Linked DNA regions of Nothobranchius furzeri. The protein of the gene in region 3 interacts with the protein of the main gene of each other region in a pairwise test. Links are inferred from orthologs where the notes say so. Each region holds a gene or a part of one and is shown on either strand. Other genes may lie near its edges.

The links. The genes of interacting proteins can lie anywhere in the genome.
Region 1: the proteins of agtrap (region 3) and mief1 interact in binary tests that used the Homo sapiens proteins (3 or more experiments, as listed by UniProt). The two-hybrid records come from large-scale screens. The link is inferred for Nothobranchius furzeri from reciprocal best matches to the Homo sapiens genes AGTRAP and MIEF1.
Region 2: the proteins of agtrap (region 3) and mcee interact in binary tests that used the Homo sapiens proteins (3 or more experiments, as listed by UniProt). The two-hybrid records come from large-scale screens. The link is inferred for Nothobranchius furzeri from reciprocal best matches to the Homo sapiens genes AGTRAP and MCEE.

The regions. Positions count from the first base shown.
Region 1 is NC_091752.1:65,048,077-65,054,615, forward strand, and holds mief1 (mitochondrial dynamics protein MID51), read right to left. Parts: upstream 4,427-6,539; coding exon 4,280-4,426; intron 4,206-4,279; coding exon 4,025-4,205; intron 2,507-4,024; coding exon 2,235-2,506; intron 2,160-2,234; coding exon 1,326-2,159; 3' UTR 1,028-1,325; downstream 1-1,027. Other genes in the region: mitochondrial ribosome and complex I assembly factor AltMIEF1, read right to left, coding at 4,552-4,764. UniProt on the Homo sapiens protein: Mitochondrial outer membrane protein which regulates mitochondrial fission/fusion dynamics.
Region 2 is NC_091749.1:64,482,745-64,488,900, forward strand, and holds mcee (methylmalonyl-CoA epimerase, mitochondrial), read right to left. Parts: upstream 4,031-6,156; 5' UTR 3,960-4,030; coding exon 3,926-3,959; intron 3,093-3,925; coding exon 2,764-3,092; intron 2,439-2,763; coding exon 2,286-2,438; 3' UTR 2,127-2,285; downstream 1-2,126. Other genes in the region: mphosph10 (U3 small nucleolar ribonucleoprotein protein MPP10), read left to right, coding at 4,062-4,147, 4,930-5,593, 5,667-5,842, 5,931-6,096. UniProt on the Homo sapiens protein: Methylmalonyl-CoA epimerase involved in propionyl-CoA metabolism.
Region 3 is NC_091743.1:75,226,511-75,231,813, reverse strand, and holds the end of agtrap (type-1 angiotensin II receptor-associated protein), read right to left. Parts: intron 1,899-5,303; coding exon 1,774-1,898; 3' UTR 1,652-1,773; downstream 1-1,651. UniProt on the Homo sapiens protein: Appears to be a negative regulator of type-1 angiotensin II receptor-mediated signaling by regulating receptor internalization as well as mechanism of receptor desensitization such as phosphorylation.

The DNA of each region.
Region 1 (6,539 bases), on a different chromosome or scaffold from region 3:
ATGATTCTTTAAATAGACCCACTAGCAACTCAGATGTCTGAGCTTTAACCAACAGAGCGGTGGGGAATGAGGAGACGTTCTCTAAGGCTAACAGTGACAATGAAAAGCCGCCATGAGATTACTTTTGGACAACACACGCTCCACAGCGCTTCAGCTGACTTAATACGACTCGGCAAGCTTGGTTTAAGACGCTTTAACGAACACTTTGGCTAAAATAGCTACTGTTGTGTAACCGAGGATCCTCTGAGCGCCGCGTCTGCACCGATCCGTTCATCGCGGTTTAAGGCGGACTCCTGCTGGGGTTTAGTGACCGTAGGGTTAAAACCAGAACCTCACTGAGAAGATGGAGACAGGAAATCAGGAGGCACTCGGGGCTCCGCTACCATCAGATTCAGGCGAGTTACAGCACTTCCTGTAAGGATTTGCCTTAACGTACGGTACGTAGACGATAGGTCGCTCGTGTGCTGCCGTACCACACCAAGACAACGGATCCGAGCAGGTAAAGAATAAAGGCCCTAAGGCTGTCCCCACCAGTTACAGCCCAGTGAGATACTGGTTTAAAGACTTAGATTCACAACAAAAGATGTTCAGGAAGCGCCAACGGCTTCAACCCAGCGGGTCAGAACAGCTCCAGCAGAAGCGTCAGATCTTCCCGTGATCCTGATCCACGGCACCGACGGGAACACGGAACCACAAACCTCCAGTTTATAACAGAGCCTCTGTGTGTGACGTCACATGACCCCCACGGCTAAGTCAGGCTACTCATTGGCTGGGGTTTCAATTATCCACATTTTATTCTTTTAAAATTGTTTCCCGTCGTCCATCTTTTGTTCTATATTTCATTCTATTTTTTACTCATGACGGTGACTCGCGCAACTGCAGCTACCTGAAACACGCCACGTCTCCCACACGCGATCCAAGAGACCAGAATATGAACGAAACTCGATTTAGAAGTGGAGAACTTTAAGGATGGCGGAGGGGAAGCAGACCCACCCGGATTATGAGTCCGGTCCAGAGCTCGGTACTGTTGGCACACACACACACACACACACACACGTTTTGGTCTGTTGGTGCTGCGACACAAACCCGTTGGAACACTTGTTACTAAAATGCTCTGAAGCCTTGGTTTGCCCTCCACTGAGCATGCTCAGTCCGGTTTAATGCAACGGCTCTGAGAAGTCCCTCCGCTCTCCTCTGAGATGTTTGGATACGAACAGCTGTGATGTGAAGAGTCAGACCGGCCCGACACGAGACCCGTCTCATGCAGCGTTTTTGTTTCTGATGAATGTTTAACCCGACGCTTCCGTCTCAGCGCCGGTTTCCTGTTAGGGGAGGTGTGGTTCTGCGGTTCTGAGAAGCCCTTCGGGATCTGAGAGGGCGCAGTAGAGCGTGTAGCCCAGTTCGTCCACTTCCTGTTCGGTCAGCTCGCAGAACAGATTGACTTTAGGAGCGAGGGCGCAGGGCAGCCTCCCGGCCTCCAGGTGTTCCACCAGAGCTCGCAGCAGCTGCAGGAAGCGGTCAGCCAGCGCGTCCTGCGTCCAGTCTCCTTCCTTTTGGCTCAGCAGCAGGATGGCGTTGGTGAGCTGGCTGGAGTTGAGTCGGTTCAGGGCGGGGTCCAGCTTGCATACGGCCTTGGCCACCTTCAGGCAGGTGCACCGGCAGCCGCCGTCCTCCTGATCCAGTGCCCTGAGGCGCGCCGTCTCACCCACGCGGAAGCTCTGCCGCCACAGGTTCTCGTGGCGCTCCGCAGCGAGCCGGTGCGGTTTGGCGATGAGCGACGTTCCGTCTTCCATCACGAGCAAAGGCAGGAAGTCCACATAAAGCCTCCGGTTTGCCTCATACTGGACCTCAAGGGTCAGGGTCTCAGAGGGAACCACGGGACGGATGATGTAATCCAGGACGCTCCCGATGGCCGGCCAGTTGATGGAGCCGGAGACCAGCTTGTCGAAAACCTCAAGGAGCGATTTAGGGGAGAGGTAACCCCCCACCATGCAGCGGTCCCAGTAGCTGCTGTTCCTTGGGAAATATTCCAGGTTCTCCCTGCGGACGAGCCAGAACCCAGGAACGTTCATGATGGTGTCCTCCCCGGGAATGGACGACCACAGGTTCTTCTCCAGGACCAGAGGCACCATCAGCTGGGCGTGGTCCGCCGTCACCACCTGTGAGGAGATCAGACTCAGAACCGATCTGCGATTGTGTGTCACTCCAAACGATAATGAGCTAAAGCTGCTCACCTGCAGGTCGTCGTACAGACTTCCACTCAGGTACATCTCCCGCAGCGGCATGTCCGGGAGTTTGGCGTGAAGAAACACCCTGAGCTCGGCGCAGATGTCCAGAGCCGCCTTCCTGGCCAGAGCCTGCTCCTCGGCAGAGATGTTGACCCAGTTCCGGTAGAAGTCCCACAGGCGTTCCTGCAGGGAGAGACGCATCCGAGCCCGCAGCAGGTCGGACTGGGCGGAGCCGCCTCGTCCCGCGGCAGAGCGACCCACAGCTCTCCTCAGACCATCTGAACATGTGTGAAAAAGACAAGTTTAAACAACTCCTGTAGAAGAAAATAACGTTTGAGGAGGAGGAAGGAGATTATTTTAGGGTTGTCACGGTAACCGGTATAGCGGTAAACCCCGGTAAAAAAGTTGACAATAAAAATAACCGTCCAGTTTTTAAAAAACTATATTATCTCGGTGGGTTTACCGTGGCCGCGGTTTCGGCGCGATGACCCTTACCAGCCACCGTCGCTTCAGCTGAAGTTCCCGCGGCGCGCACACGCACTTTTTAATTTGCAACGGCACCAAAACTTTGAAGCTGAAATAATGGCCGAAGGAGGAGACGGCAGCGCCCAGGACATCCATCAGCCCCCAAAGAAGACTAAATCGGAAGTATGGGCATATTTGGGATTTCTGAAAAATGCTGAGGGACAGTTAATAGAAGACTGCTATCCCGTTTGCAGAACGTGCAGGAAACAAGTGTCTGCAAAAGGCAGCAACACTTCGAATCTAATGGCACATCTGCGTGACGATCACCCACGTCTCTACAGCCAGTGCAAGGTAAGTTAACATTAGCATTTTAGCTGAAATGCATGACGCGAGGACTTTTGGTTGACGGAGAATGCAACGAGTCACTATATACTGCAGCCGCAGCGTCCTCTGCCAGCATTTAAACCGTGTCACGGACACCCTGTTGCTGGATGAAGCATCTTATTTGTTGATGATGAAGAGAAATATACAATTAGTTCCTTGTCATTGATTTGTTTACTTATTCAATGCCATTTATACTTGAACATTTGGATTTGATTACATAGTGTAGTAGTTATTTTAGTAATTTGTTTAAAGTGGCTATTTGTTTTAAATACATATTTTTTTAAGGTTGACTTGTACAGTGCTCAAGTCAAGTGTGGACTGGAGTTTTAGATTTTCATTTTGATAATGAAGAAAACAAGTATATGAGAAAACAAGTGGTGTTTCTTTGATTTGTTTACATATTGTTTATGTTTTGAATGTTTGGATTTGTATCATTTAAACCTGCACTGACTACTGTAACATGTTCCAGAAAAATAAGCTATTTGTTCCTTTACTTGTGAAAAGTTGCACTTTTGCTAAGGCTTTGTGTTATTTTAGGTTTAATAAACACTGTTAAACCTTTTCAGAACTATTTCAGTTTGTGTAGAACAGGACTATCAATGCTTTCTGAACATATGCAACACCGTTTAAAAAATACCGCGATAATACCGAAAACCGTGATAATTTTGGTCACAATAACCGTGAGGTTAAATTTTCATACCGTGACAACCCTAGATTATTTCACTACTCTGACATGACGGTTCTACTCCTCTACAGCTAATCCCACTAAACCACCAGAAGAGGTGAGTTTGGGGCCTGCGGGGAGACAGAAGGCAACCCACTGTAAAGAAAGAGGAAGAATCCTCCAAGGAGGCCGTCTGTTGAAAGATTAAAACAAGACGCGTGGCTGAAAGTCAAGCCTACGACCACGAATGTTACGACATAAAAAAACCGAGCTCTCGCCTCACCTGGTTCAATGGAATGTGAGGAAGTGGGCAGCGACTGGAGGGACCTGCTGACCGTGAACTTCATGTCGTGGTTCAGTACTCGTGGGGATGACCCCATCCAGGCAGGCTCCTCCCAGCTCCTCTTCCCAGTTTTCTCCATCTTGGTGGGGCTGGTGGGGGCGCTCATGGCGCGGTCATACATCTGTACAGCAACAATCAGGTGAGCTGAAGCAGACCGCTTTCACGCGCCACGCCGATCGAGATCTTCACACTTACTCGTTTCATAGCCAGCGTCGCAATGCCGAGCATGGCCGCCCCGCCCACCCCCAGCACCAGCTTAGCATTGGAGAGCATGAAGTCGATGGCTGTCCCGAGGCCGTTGTCGTCTTTTTTTCCTTTACGGTCACCGTTCACCCCCGCCATCCCTCTGCTGGCCGAGACAAAACCAGATCAGAAGTGACCCAAACAGCCGCCATGCTGTGGGGTGTTTTCTCTGCGTGAACCCACCTGAGTGACGCACCTCCAGACGGCTCACGGAGCCCCCTCCCCTACATAAGCCCACCCAGCCCACTGCTGAGGAAGAACTGGCCTCTCTTCAGCGCCTCTTCCTTGTCTTCAGGCACGCTCAGGTCCCGGCAGCGCCGGAACTCCCGAGCCACGGCCCGGCGGTAGTAGTTCCTGTCTGTGTACTGAAGGTGGCGTCCGGCGCGGAGCAGCGCCCTGTACAGCTCCAGCACGGCACTGCGAGACCAGCTGCCCATCAGGGATCACACATGGAGGGGGGAGCCACCCTGGAACCTGATTGGAGGACAGATGGGAGACGCCGGTACAGACATGAGAAATGTGATGATCAACCTGCACAGATGGTCACGAGAGCGGAGGGTCTCTCTCTCTCTCTCATTCACACACTTTAGCTCCAACAAGGTGAATCCCAGACATCACCTATGGATTAATGCATCTCTCTAAGGCCCTCTTAAAACGTAATTAGGTTTCTTTCTTCAAAAAACTACTTTAAGAAGCTCCACCGTATTATTTTTAGGTCTGACTCTGCTGTTGTGCCTCACCTGTAAACATTCCTGTTTGTTCAAGCTTAAACTGATCAACGTGTCTGGTACAGGGCCTGGAAAACGCTGCCAAAAAGCTAAAATAACACTTAGTAAACCGTCACATAGCTGGGGAACAGGAAAACAATCATTTTAATAACACAAAGAGGCCTGGCTCACAGGAGACTGCATATAAAAAAATTAAACGTGGTTTAAAACTTTTGCACGTTGTTGTAGCGGTCGCGTCCGCCACGGCAGCGACAGAATTAACAGATTATTCCCGCGAGCAGGCGTTTTCCGTTAGGTTGCTGTAACGGTTGTGTAATCCGGTTTCCTCAGATGAAACGGTATAATATTGCAAATCCATCTGATGTTCAGCGGCCTGTAGAAAATGGCTGGCCTAAAAGAAAGTCACTCATCTCTGTGGAAGCTAGTGGTTAGCTTATTTTAGCGGCGTGAGTTAGCGCTGACCTTACGTTCAAACAGCCTGGCGCACACCACCGCAGGCGTAGAGTAATCTGGCTACGTGTGAAAGCAGCAACGCAGATGTAGAAACGTTTAAAAATCATCAAGAGGCAACTTACGTATCGGAAAATAAACCAGAGTTAATGTTATGAAAGAAGCCGCTCTTCTTTTCAGCCGGGGGTCACGTATGATGGTGACACCGGAAGCAAAAAGGCTTACGTAAAATCCACATCCGGGTTACGCCCCCCCAAGATTTAGCTAAATTTTAACAAATTTTGAGGCATTTTAAAATACTTTTTGATTAAATTACTGAAAAGTCTGCCAGGTGACATTTTTTATAAAGTTTAAATAAAATATTTAGTTAATTTATTTGGTGAAATGAACAAATTCTTTACCACCTTAAATGTTAGACAGCATAGGTGTGTCTGACTGTAACAAACCCATATACAACTGATTATTTTTTTATTTTATTAAACTATTGCTAAAATATAAACTATTAATTAACATTCACCCTTTCATTCAGATAGTTAAAGAGCAAGTCACCCCCAAATAAACTTTTTTGCTGATAAACAAAAGAAACGAGTGTCTAATCATGCTGCAGACACATGTAGTCAATAATTTGGCACTTCAGTTCATCTAATTTAAATATTTTGCCTAAAACTGGCAGTGTTGTGCCGTTGTCAGGTAAAAACTCTGCACTGTATTTTAATTTAAATCTGCCATCGCTATTGGCTAAGAGGTATGCTATGATGTAAACTGGTACATTATGATGTCACAATGCTGTCATGAGCCTGTGTGTGTGTGTATTTGTTAGTGGCTCCGCCTTCTCGGTCTGCCAGGCAACAGTATTTGTTGCATTTTTCAAACATGAAGTGGGAGTGGAGTTAGACTCTGGTAGGGGGTGACTTGCTCTTTAAATGAAGATTTCATCTGATTACTTTAAAAGTAAACAAAAAGTTCACAAAGAGTGCTGGGGAGGAGAAAGATGTACTCGTAATTGCAGTTTGTGATATTCCAGCAAACACACA
Region 2 (6,156 bases), on a different chromosome or scaffold from region 3:
CTACTTCCCGGTTTGATTTTATTCACGTCATTTAAAAGAACCTGACCAAACCATGACTCGGCTTTCTGGAATTTCCATGTTTACAGTCTGCCTTAGGCTGCTGACACAGGAAATACGATGCTGCAAAGACAAGATTCCTCTGAGCGTTTCTTCAGAGCAGAGAGGACAATAAGTGTACATGAAGTTTCCCTCATATTTCTGTAGAGGTTAATTTGTATTTTTTTGTCTGCGGGTTAAAGTCTGCTGGGCTTTTCTGAGTTGTCCAATAAAACCAAACAGGGAATGAGTCAAATGTTAATGCGTCGGCAGCTTTTGCAATCATCTGTTTCCTGTTTTCTTTTGGGTTTGAGTGAACAAATATTTGATTTTTGCTCCCGTTTGATTCAGCTGTAATTAATTTTGACATTTTGTTCATTTTGCTAATGTCAACATTTTCAAAAGTCCATTTCTCCCCATCAGAACAGAGAGCTGCAGTTGCTCTGAAATCACAGAAATGATTTTTCCTCTTTGGAAGTGTTTGCTTTATGATCCACATGTTTAATACTGGACTTTAACTCGGTAGGGTCGAGGGGGGCTGGTTCCCATTCCCAGCAGGCGAGGGGCCGGGACACCCTGGGCATGTCACCAGTCCATCAGGTTCACACGCACACACTGGTCGCTAGCTCCGGCCCTGGGGCCAGAACTTTCTCATGGTCCCTACGACCCGCTTTAGAACCTGAGACATGGCATTTGAGGCCGTGGCCCCAAAACTGTGGAAAGCCTTGCTGACTAATTGTTCATTTAGGATGCAGCTGAAAAAGCTTCTTTTCAGACAAGCATCCCCCGTCTCTTTTACCTTTTATTAGAATTAGTTTTTAATGTATCACTTTTATATTTTTACCGTTTTTGTGAAGCACTTTGTGATTTTATCTGTGAAAAGTTTTCTAGAAATAAATATCTTCTTCGGGACAATGTCGAGTCTCCATTAACCTAACATGCATGTTTTGGTCTGTGGGAGGAAGCCAGAGCACCCTGGGGAGAACATGCCAACCCTGCAGAAAGACCACAACCGTTCCACCATAATGTGCTTTCTTTTGAGCAAAGAAAAGAAAATGCTGATATCAAAGATGAATTTCTACCCACTAAAATCATTCCTCCTGGTGAATAAACAGGCTTTTGTTTCTACGTGGCTACGGCACCAGTCTAGGATCTGTTTTTGTCAACACCTTCAAAAATGCTGCAGCACAACCCGGGATCACAGCCTTAGCCTCTGTATACAAGGTTCCTCCTTTGTTTATGACATCTTGATTGTTTTAAGCCTTTAAATGTACTTTGGTATTTTATTCTGCATCAGTTACTGAGGCCAGGTGAGAAAATGTTCCTGATGTACGAAGAGGCATATTAAAGCGCAGAAGAGATCAGGCTTCCTTTGTAGCTTAGTCTACAGCTTAGACTTTCACATCAGAACCCTGATGTCAACCCTAACCAGAAAAAAACTCACATTTTTCAATCTGTCACAAATAAAACAGAATGAGGTAAATATTAACAAGCTTTTGGGCTGCATTTGAAATTGTTTTCTTATCCTTATTGTTCCGGAATAGATTAAACATGAAGCATTCTACAACTTGTTTTTCTTTTACAGCACATCAGTGTGTGTGTGTGTGTGTGTGTGTGTGCGCGCGCCATGTGCCCAAGCCAATAGCGATGGCAAATTTAATTTCAAATGCAGTGCAGAGTTTTTACCTGACATCGGCACAACACTGAGTTTTAGGCAGAAAATTTAAATATTAACTAAAATGCAGTTAAGTGCAAAACTATTGACTACACGTGTCTGCAGCACGATTAGACACACATTTATATAGTTTATCAGAAAAAAAGTTGATTTGGGGGTGACTTGCTCTTTAAATTACATTTTAAAATCTGCTGTTTTATGTTCTTGCTCCTGGAAAACATTTTGAATTGCTTCTCTGTATGAAGTGTTCGATATAAATAAAAGATGCCTTGGAACATGTGCAAGGTACTGTTTATCCGTATTTGAAATATGAGCTGTAAAACATGCTGTTGTGTGAAACCATGTTACTAGATTGTTGCTGGACAATGAAGAGACAATAAAGCAAGCACACACCCACGAAAGAATCCCTAAGCAATGCTTTGCAAGAGCTTTTATAGAAATGGTCACACATCACACTAGACCTAAGCCAGAACAAAACAGGAACATCACAACCAGCAATCAGCACTCGCATCCCTGCAATCATCTAAGTAATGATGGAGTAAATGGACACGAAGGCGTCTTCGGTCCCCGACGTTCACGCTTCTTCTAACTCCACCAGCACCCCGTCACAGTCTTTAGGATGGAGAAACATGACCGGCTTCCCGTGAGCGCCTATTCGCGGCTCCGCTGACAAAGTTCTGATGTTCTTTGCTTTCAGATCGGCCACTGCAGCATTAATGTCATCTACCTGCAAACAGGCGGAAAACGTAGTTAATCATTAATCTAACTAGAATCACTGGGTTACTACCCTATTGAACCTCTGAGTGGGAAAAGTACAGCGTCAACACAAAATCACCCGTCATTAACCTCTTTTAATTTCACAAAATTACACACAAACCCTTTATGAACTATTATGGACTAGTCCACTAAGGTGTATCCGTGCTGCAGACTGTTTTGCTCCTGATGTGACAGGAAAGATGTCAGTGGTTTAATTATAGTTGCATAAATCAGTATGTTATTAGCGGGGTAAATATGTGTTGCGTCTTCTGACTCACGCCGTCGATGTCTCTCACCTCGATACAGACATGGTGCATCCCTCCGGACTTGTTCTTCTGTAAGAAACCAGAGATGGGGCTCTTCTCCCCCAGAGGATGGAGCAGCTCCAGCTTGGTGTTGCCCAGCTCCACGAACACCGTGTAGACACCGTGCTCAGGCAAAGGCACCTTTTCGCTCACCGTGGCTCCGAGCACATCGCGATACAAGGCCGTGGCCTTCTCCATGTCAGGGACGGCAATGGCTACATGGTTCAGCTTCCCCAATTTCCACAGAGACCCAGGAAGTGGCGCTGTCGTCGAATGTGACCTCAGGAGGGAAACGCCAGAACATCTGGAAATTCCTGCCACTGAATAAACACAATAAAATAAAAATAATGTAAAAATAATTAAGAGCTGAGCTGTTTAGATAAACAGCATTAGATACTGAATAAACCACTATCACTTCTTTAAATGGATATATTCCGGATACATTTTAATGTTTAATATTTACACAAAACTCCTTAAATCCAGGAAGCACCAGGGATATGAAACGTACGGTTTTGGTGAATGTTTTTGTACCACAGACGTGAATTTATTTAAAAAATGTACTAAACTGTGTCACATACATGATTCAGGAAACAATTTATAATTTAAGATATTTTAATTTGAGATACTTGTATGTGTGTGTGTGTGTGTGTGTGTGTGTGTGTGTGTACATACTGAGGACCATTTTGACCATTTTCCCCACAAATTGAGGACATGTTTTGGTCCTCGTTTTTTTTAAGCTTACCAGTTGGTTTTTGAGGTCTGGTGTGAATTAAGTTTTGGTTAAGGTTAGGGTTAGGAACAGATCAGCATTGGTTATGGTTAGGGTATGGGTATGAGTTAGGCATAGTGGAGTCACATAAATGAATGGAAGTCACTGAGGGTACTCACTACGATAGAAAGACAGACAATATTTATAGAAATGTAATATTTATAGAAATGTATTCATAAAAACATTTAGTTTTGACTGTATCTTCTCATTTTTAACCTGAAAACGCAAAAAGAAAGTAAACACAACACATCGCGAGTTGCGCTTAAGTCGAGAGAGACGATTTGGAGAGCAACTATCGGCAACTATACACTCTTATTTGTCAAGGCAGAATGCACCGGAGAGAAGCCTGACTGTAGCAGTTAGCTTTTATCGATATAAACAAACCTGCAACCTTCAGCAGCGACGTCGCCATTTTCATTATTATTTTGTTTTTACGTAGGAACCAATCTGTAGCGGCGGACGCGTTTCTGGTCGGGCCTGTTTACCTGCAACACTTTCGGCTACACATGTGTAGGAAAACATGGCGGGTGCAGAAATGTGGGCCGTACTGGAGGATTGTGTCAAAACGATAAATGTTAACACGGCACAACCAGAAAACTTTCTAAGGCGAGTGTTCTGCATTATTTTACTAAAGTTTTATTCTTTTAAACGAGATATTTACTTGACCAATCATCGGCTAAAGCTAAATGCTAATGCTAGCAAATACTTTAGAGAGCTGTTAGGTTAAACTTATTTAAATAAAATAGTTGAGAACGGCTTTCTTTCAGATTTAGAGTCACTTTTTTTATTAAATTAAATGAAAGAAAATGTCATTTTATTAGATTTGACACAATCGGTGACAGCTAATATCGAAAATTAGGATTTATTTGGTTTTATGATCTGTCTCTGACTAAAGGCTGTAGCTGAGTGACACCAACAGTACAGCAAGCTAATAATAATAAAACTCGAGATATTGTGAGACGAGAGGTTAATCCATCCGTGAAATAACATTAACCTGCTAGATTATCTGAAGTAACTGGACAGTGGTGCCTCAAAATGATCACATAGTCTTATGGTCTAATTTGATCTGGATGTGTCTGTTCTCGTTTAAGGACCTAAATGCTTATGTTGCCATACAATATAACTAAAACATTTAAAACTATGATTTACAGACAAAGGTTGTTTGCATGATATCCAAGATTTTGTCCTTTTTTCCTTATTTAATTTTGCTTTGATGATTAATTTCTAACCATTTTCACCATCATGAGTTTTGGTAAACAGCATGGATGTTGTATGATAGTTGGCTGTCACAGATGAAAGCTGCGCTGAGTTCAAACCAGTGGTCATTTTCAAAAGAACCTCTTTCCCTGCAACACGTTTGTCTCACTGATTGTTTTTCTACTTTTCAGCCTTCAAGATGGTGCTGCAGCAGAATTTACCTCCCTCACGAAGACCCTGTATGACCTCCACAAATCCCAGGAGCCTTCAGATTGTAAAGGCAGCCCGCTGGCTCAGCTCATTGTGGACAACTTTGACGAGGAGCAGATTTGGCAGGAGCTAGAGCTCCAGAATGAAGCTGTGCTGACATATTTCACTAAATCTATTGAAGGAGCATTGTCAGATGAGGCATTAACTTTGCTGCCAGAGGAAGAGGTGGTAGAAGATGAAAAAAGTGGTGATGAAGGCGAAGAAGAAATGAATAATGATGAAAATGTAATTAAAATTCCTCCTAGAATGCAAAAGAAAAAGGCTGTGGAAGCTGAAGAAGGGTCAGAGCAGGGCTCAGAAGATGACTCGGATATAGATTTTGATGTGGATGCTCTGGAGAAACGAGAGAAGAAGAAAGCGAGTGCACGGGCAGGCTCCAAAACAAAACTGGTTCCCTCAGAAGTTGACGATAAGTTCTTCAAACTGTCAGAAATGGAGTCATTTCTTGATGAAATGGACAAGCGAGAAGGAAGAGAGGAGGATGGCGACAACAATGTTGACTACTTCCAAGACCTGCACTCGGATGAGGATGACGATTTTGACCTCGGTGAAATACTGTCCTCAAAAAAGCCGAAGAAACACGCGGTATGATTTTATCACTCATCACTTTGGGCTCTGATCATATGGAAGAGACAAATAAATGTTTATTTTCTAACAGCAGGTAAAAAGCTCCAGAGATCTCAGGTACAAGGACTTTTTTGGTGCTGTGGGGGGCAAACCAGCTAAGACTGATGACCAGTCAGATGGAGATGATGATGCGAGTGAGGAAGAGGATGAAGAAGAGTTGGAAGAAGAAGAAGATGGTGATTATCGTGATGAAGAGGACAACGATGAGTGAGTCGATCTGGGTCTAATTTGTGCTGTGGTGAGGGGGGAAGCTTGTTCTGTGAATTCCAACTCATTAAAAAAATGTTTTCCTCAGGGATGAGCAAGAAAGTCGCTCCAAAGCAGCTCACAAGAAGGTGACCTTTGACCTCTCTGGAGAAGAGAGCAGTGAGGGGGAGGACATGGAGGAGATTTTTGGAGGAAAAGCTTCAAGTTCAGAAAAATCCGAATTAAAATCATCTTTTGAGAAACGGCAGGAAAAGGTAAAAGTTTCTCCACGGCTTGTTTTGCAGCAGAAGCTTCAGGATGAGAGGTCAGGTCAC
Region 3 (5,303 bases):
AACGAATAAATATTGCAGCTGCGTTAATAAAACCTCTATTTGTGCTTTCTTAAGAGCCCATAAGGCAGCAAAACTCACAGACAAGATTGGTGAGTTTCTAACCCCCTAATGACAGTAAAAATAGTCAGTGGCTAAAACCTTTAGGGGATTTTCATGATCTGTGTGCACAAAATCACCTAATCCTCAGAGGAATACTTGCTTTTCCTTGTCCTTAAATAAATATAAAATGACACTTTTCATACTTTCAGTGTTGGAGGGAGCGGAAAATAAATAAATTCTCATTATTCCCTTTACTAATTTTGACATTTCTGTGCCAAGTTGTGTGTTGCAGTGTGTGGTTTGTGCAGAAAGTACGAGTTTAGTTAACAGACAAAAGCTGGTTGATGTGATGTAATTCTGGAGTGTGAAAAATGTTTCACACAAGGAAGCTGGGACATAAATGTGTCATCTTGCACGGACAGGATGGTCTTTACAGCTCTGACAGGCTGCACATGAAGACGTAACCAACGCAACTGTATATTTCATATTTCTTTATTCTAAGAGATTTCATGAAATATTAAATGCAAACTAAGCAGGAAACAGTCTCATGTTGGAAAATTAAAGGAGGTGTACCAAATGTATTCATTTAATGCAGAATATTTAGTGGAGCTGAACAGTTTTGACAATATCAAAAGAAGATATTCAGGTGAAATGTCTCTGTAGCAAAATGCATAAAACAACCCATCAGAAGGTGGCTCCTGTTGACAGAAAAACATTTTATAGGCTTTTATTCAACAGAGCAAAACTAGAGCTGCATATTTGGGTAAAAGGAAGTTATGACATCACAGGTCATTTCAGCACAGTAACCACATCCAACGCACAGATTACAAGGTTTTCCAAGAGAGAACTTTGAACTACATAAAAAAATAAAATGCATGACAAAAACATCTTAATGATGCAACGGGCCAGTAATGACAGCAGCAACAGGGTCTCTATCTTTATTGTGCAGCACTGCTGTGCAATTTGCACCCTGAAAGTGCAACCTTCAAGGAATGCTTTTGGAATGATGTGAGAAACTGCACATTTGTTTCAACTCATATTTAGTTCATGACACCTTTAACATTTCTGATTAAATTAGTTAAAACTAAACACGTGTAGCATAGTGTGTGACCTGTGTTCATTAAAACAGTGACTTCACACACACAGAGTGTTTATGCTGACGAGTCTAAGAGCAGAAAGTTTGTTTCTTCGCACGATAGATTGAGCTCATCATTGGGGTCATTATGCAAAGAACGGACATTTTTTTGTCTGATGGCAGTAGAATAAATAGTTGTTTATCAGATAGTAAACTTTAGGATAAATAAATTGCAGGTGAATCTGCCAAAAGCTGCTTCCTCTTAAAGAATGCCCCCTAAATGCTTTAGCTGTTCAAATCATCTGGGGGATTTCATAACATTTCCCAGTCTGTCCAATGCTTCCAACCATTCTGCCCAGTAAAGTCCTGAATACAAACTCATCCTAATTTTGAGCTAAACATGGAGTCAGTTGTTTGTAAGTGCCACATTAGTAAAAAACTAACGAAACAAAGAGCACGAGACTTTCGTCGTACTGTGTGTTCAGGAGTCCCTCTTCCAACGCAAGAGCAACTCAGCTCATAAACACACTATGAGACCCAAACAGATGTTTATTCAGCAAAATTTTAAGTTTTGATTTGACTTTTGATCTCACAGGTGCATCATGTGTTGCAATGTGAATCCATGAGGACAGGACAGCTTTGGTAAAGTCCTGCTCGACTCAGTAAGCGCGGACTCCTGGTTTGCTGTCCTGGGCCTGGTTGAAGGGGTTCGCTGGACTCGAGGACTCGTCCGGCTGGTCGATAGACTGATAGGCATCTCTGTTTCGTGATACAGTAGGAAACCCTGCAGAGACACGCCAAAAACATTCAAATCTTGTCTGAGGACATTTTTCATTCACATCCGATCACGTTGGCCTTGGCGCCACAGCAACTCTATTGGGAGCCTAAATCACGCCCTTCCACTTCTGGTCCAGGGGTCTATACGGTCATAAAACATGAATGAGTCGATGGAGCAATAAGTTATTTTCTGATCCCGTCTGATGAGCGCCATGGATTTCACACATGACGGCTGTGAATTTTAAGACACATTTTGATGCCAAGAGCGTGCTTTTTTCGACAGGCAGCTAAAGGTACTTTAGGTTTTGTGGGAAGTAAAAGACTCCAGCTGAGGAGAAACGTGGCTGTGAGAGCAACAAGCTTTGCATCTTGTTTCCAGGACTAAAGGAGCATTCAAAGATTCATTTAAATAGATTAGTGACACGGTTGGAATGATTCAGGACCTCGACTCACGATGCTTGCTTCTGATGTTGTTGGGAACTTTCAGAAGATCTCAAATTAATATTAAAAAAAAACCAGTTGGGTTTAGAAGTTACAAACTTTACAATGGATCCTGGAACAGAGTTGGACTTTATGTGAGGCTTTGCAGCAAACAGCATCAACTCTGCAAGGTCAGAATATTAATGGCATTTTTGTGGAAGTCCAAACCGTCGCATCCCTTCTCCGCTCACAGCTCTGTGACAAACCTGCAGTTTTGCACTCTCATCAAATAAAGAACGTTGGATTTGTGGCACATGAAGTTAACCATCATAAGGTTGTGGTATCCTTTCTAAATGTAACAAATATGAATAAAAACAGTTATTAGCTTCACGTGTAAGGATAAAGGCTTGTTTTATAAGTCAACTGGGCTCACTTTAAAGTGAGCGCCATCACAGATCTTGAAAACCAACAATAAAAAAATATAAAAAACATCCCAGAATACTCCTAACAAATGAGGTGCCTGGAGACTAAAAATCTGAATAAAATATTCAGTACATGCAAAATAAAAGAGTAAAAGACACTTTACAGGGAAAACGAATGGAACAGTAATGTGGGCTGCTGATGATGGAAACAGGCCAGCTGGTCGCACAGAAATACATCATTTTACATGCAAGCCAACAGCTGAATAAACATGTAAAAAGGGTTAAGAAGAGCCAGGCTGGTGAAAGTCAACAAAACTCTAAAAAGGACAAGCGTAAATGGGATTTCACCCGAAAAGCTTCTGAATCTCCGTTTCCTGGTGCCGGACGTGTGAAACCACTATTCCACTGTTGAATTAATATCAAATAGGCCAAAGCATGTTGAATTTCTCTGAGATCAGGCTGGAAACGGTGAAAGTAAAAAAGTTCATGTAAATTACAAAGAGATGAACAAAATGATGGAACCCAGTAAAAAGCAAAACACAGAGAAAGTCTCTTTCTTTCTGATCAGACGTCTTACTTCCCGGGGATGGGGTGATTTGGAAAGAAGGGAAAAAGGAAGAAGCCAGGAATCAGTAACGACGGCCGTAATAGGCACTGTCAGCACTGTCCGTAGTGCACCGACTGTCCACAGAGGTCTCTAAGTCTGAGGAAAACAGAGATCAGCAGTGAAGAAGAAAAAGATCAAAATAAGACACAAAAACTAAAGATTGCACACAAAGAATGAATGGAACATGTGCAAGAGAACTTTCTACGGCATGCAGGAAAAGAAACAGGAATATTCTGACAAATACGGTTTACTCATCAGTGATAAAATTGTTACACACACAAGCCATGATTGTTTTTATCAATCCATCTATTTTCATCTGCTTATCTGGAGTCGGGTCGCGGAGGCAGTAGCCTAAGTCAAGAGACCCAGACTTCCCTCTCCCCAGCCACTTGGGCCAGCTCCTCCGGGGGAATCCCAAGGCATTCCCTGGCCAGGTGAGAGACATAGTCCCTCCAACCTGTCCTGGGTCTACCTTTAGGCCTCCTCCCGGTTTGACATGCCCAGAAAACCTCACAAGGGAGGTGTCCAGGAGACATCCTGACCACATGCCCGAGCCACCTCAACTGGCTCCTCTCGATGTGGAGGAGCAGCGGGTCTACTCCGAGCCCCTCCGGGATGACTGACCAATGAATGCCGGACCATGTCTAATGCTGCCGCTCGTCGTTTTCACAGATAATAATGTGGTTGAAGCAGAGTCAGCCCTGTTAGTTTAGCAGCAAATCATTTTAAAGGCTTTCTGAAAACAAGAACATTGAGTTAACTTGAGTTAAAAGCGTCATGGACAGGTTTTACTAACCTTTGTCTTGACAAGAAAATTTCAGCTAGATTCTAAATTTCAGTCCTGTAGAAGAGGAGGGAGGGGAGGCGATTATTTAGTGTGTATTGGAGCTAAGTGATTAGCGTAGCATTCAATCTCACGCTATCAGACTGTTTTTGCTTGTTGCAGCATTAGCAAGGGTGTGCTAGCATTGGAAGAGCCAGATTCCTGCACGTTTTAGAGGTTTCCCTGCTGAACACCACATATGTTTAAACTGAGTGATTAGCTGCTGCAACCAGATGAAGGCTGAATTCAGCAGTTAGAATTAGGTTTGTCTGAGCAGGAGCATATCAAAGACATTACTTAGTGCTAGCGTTCACACTACAGAGCTTTGTGAGGCATGGCTCTCAGCCGTTCAAATTTCTAAATCTTTTCCTTCTCACCACGATGACGTCATGCTATGCACCCCAGCTTTCATAATCCCGATTTGTTTAGTGATAGTCGACTTGAACTAGCTGTTGCTTGTACCTGACTGTGCTCAGCAGTGCAACGCCAGCAAAGCAATCTAGCTGCAATTAAAACCCAAACGCTGTCTGAGAGGATCATTAGCTGCTTTCATCTGACATAACTCAGTCTAATGGGTGTTCCTGCTGTGCAAAGTAAACCATAAAGAAACTAGATTCATCAATATTCAATTATCCTCTGTGCAGTCGACAAATGGGTTTCATCAAGGTTTCGCATCTCACCACTAACATCCTTTTGTCTTCTAGCGCTTTTTTTTTCTTTCATTTTGATCCATTCTTTGTGAAGTTGATATCCAAATGTGCTCATCACATTAATTCAATGACATCAGGTAACAAATCAAAGAATGATCATTTTAAGCCTCCAGGTCATTAGAATTTCAAAGATCTGCGATGTTAGATCCATAAGTGGATGTCTGCAACATAAATGAGATCCTGCAGCCTCCGATCAGTCTGACGAATCTACACAATGACCTAAATCTTTGTTTGTGGGTTCTGTGTGGCCACCTCTGCTTTCTGCACATCCATCTCGAGCTATTTTTGTTCCTGCATCAAAGCGGGTCATTCATTTTACAGCCTGCATGCTTCTTTAACACGTTTCTCCATGCACTCGGATCGCATGGTCAGAGTGACTCACACACACATTATGAGGAACTTGTGGGGTTTCTGTAAACAGTCGAGCTGC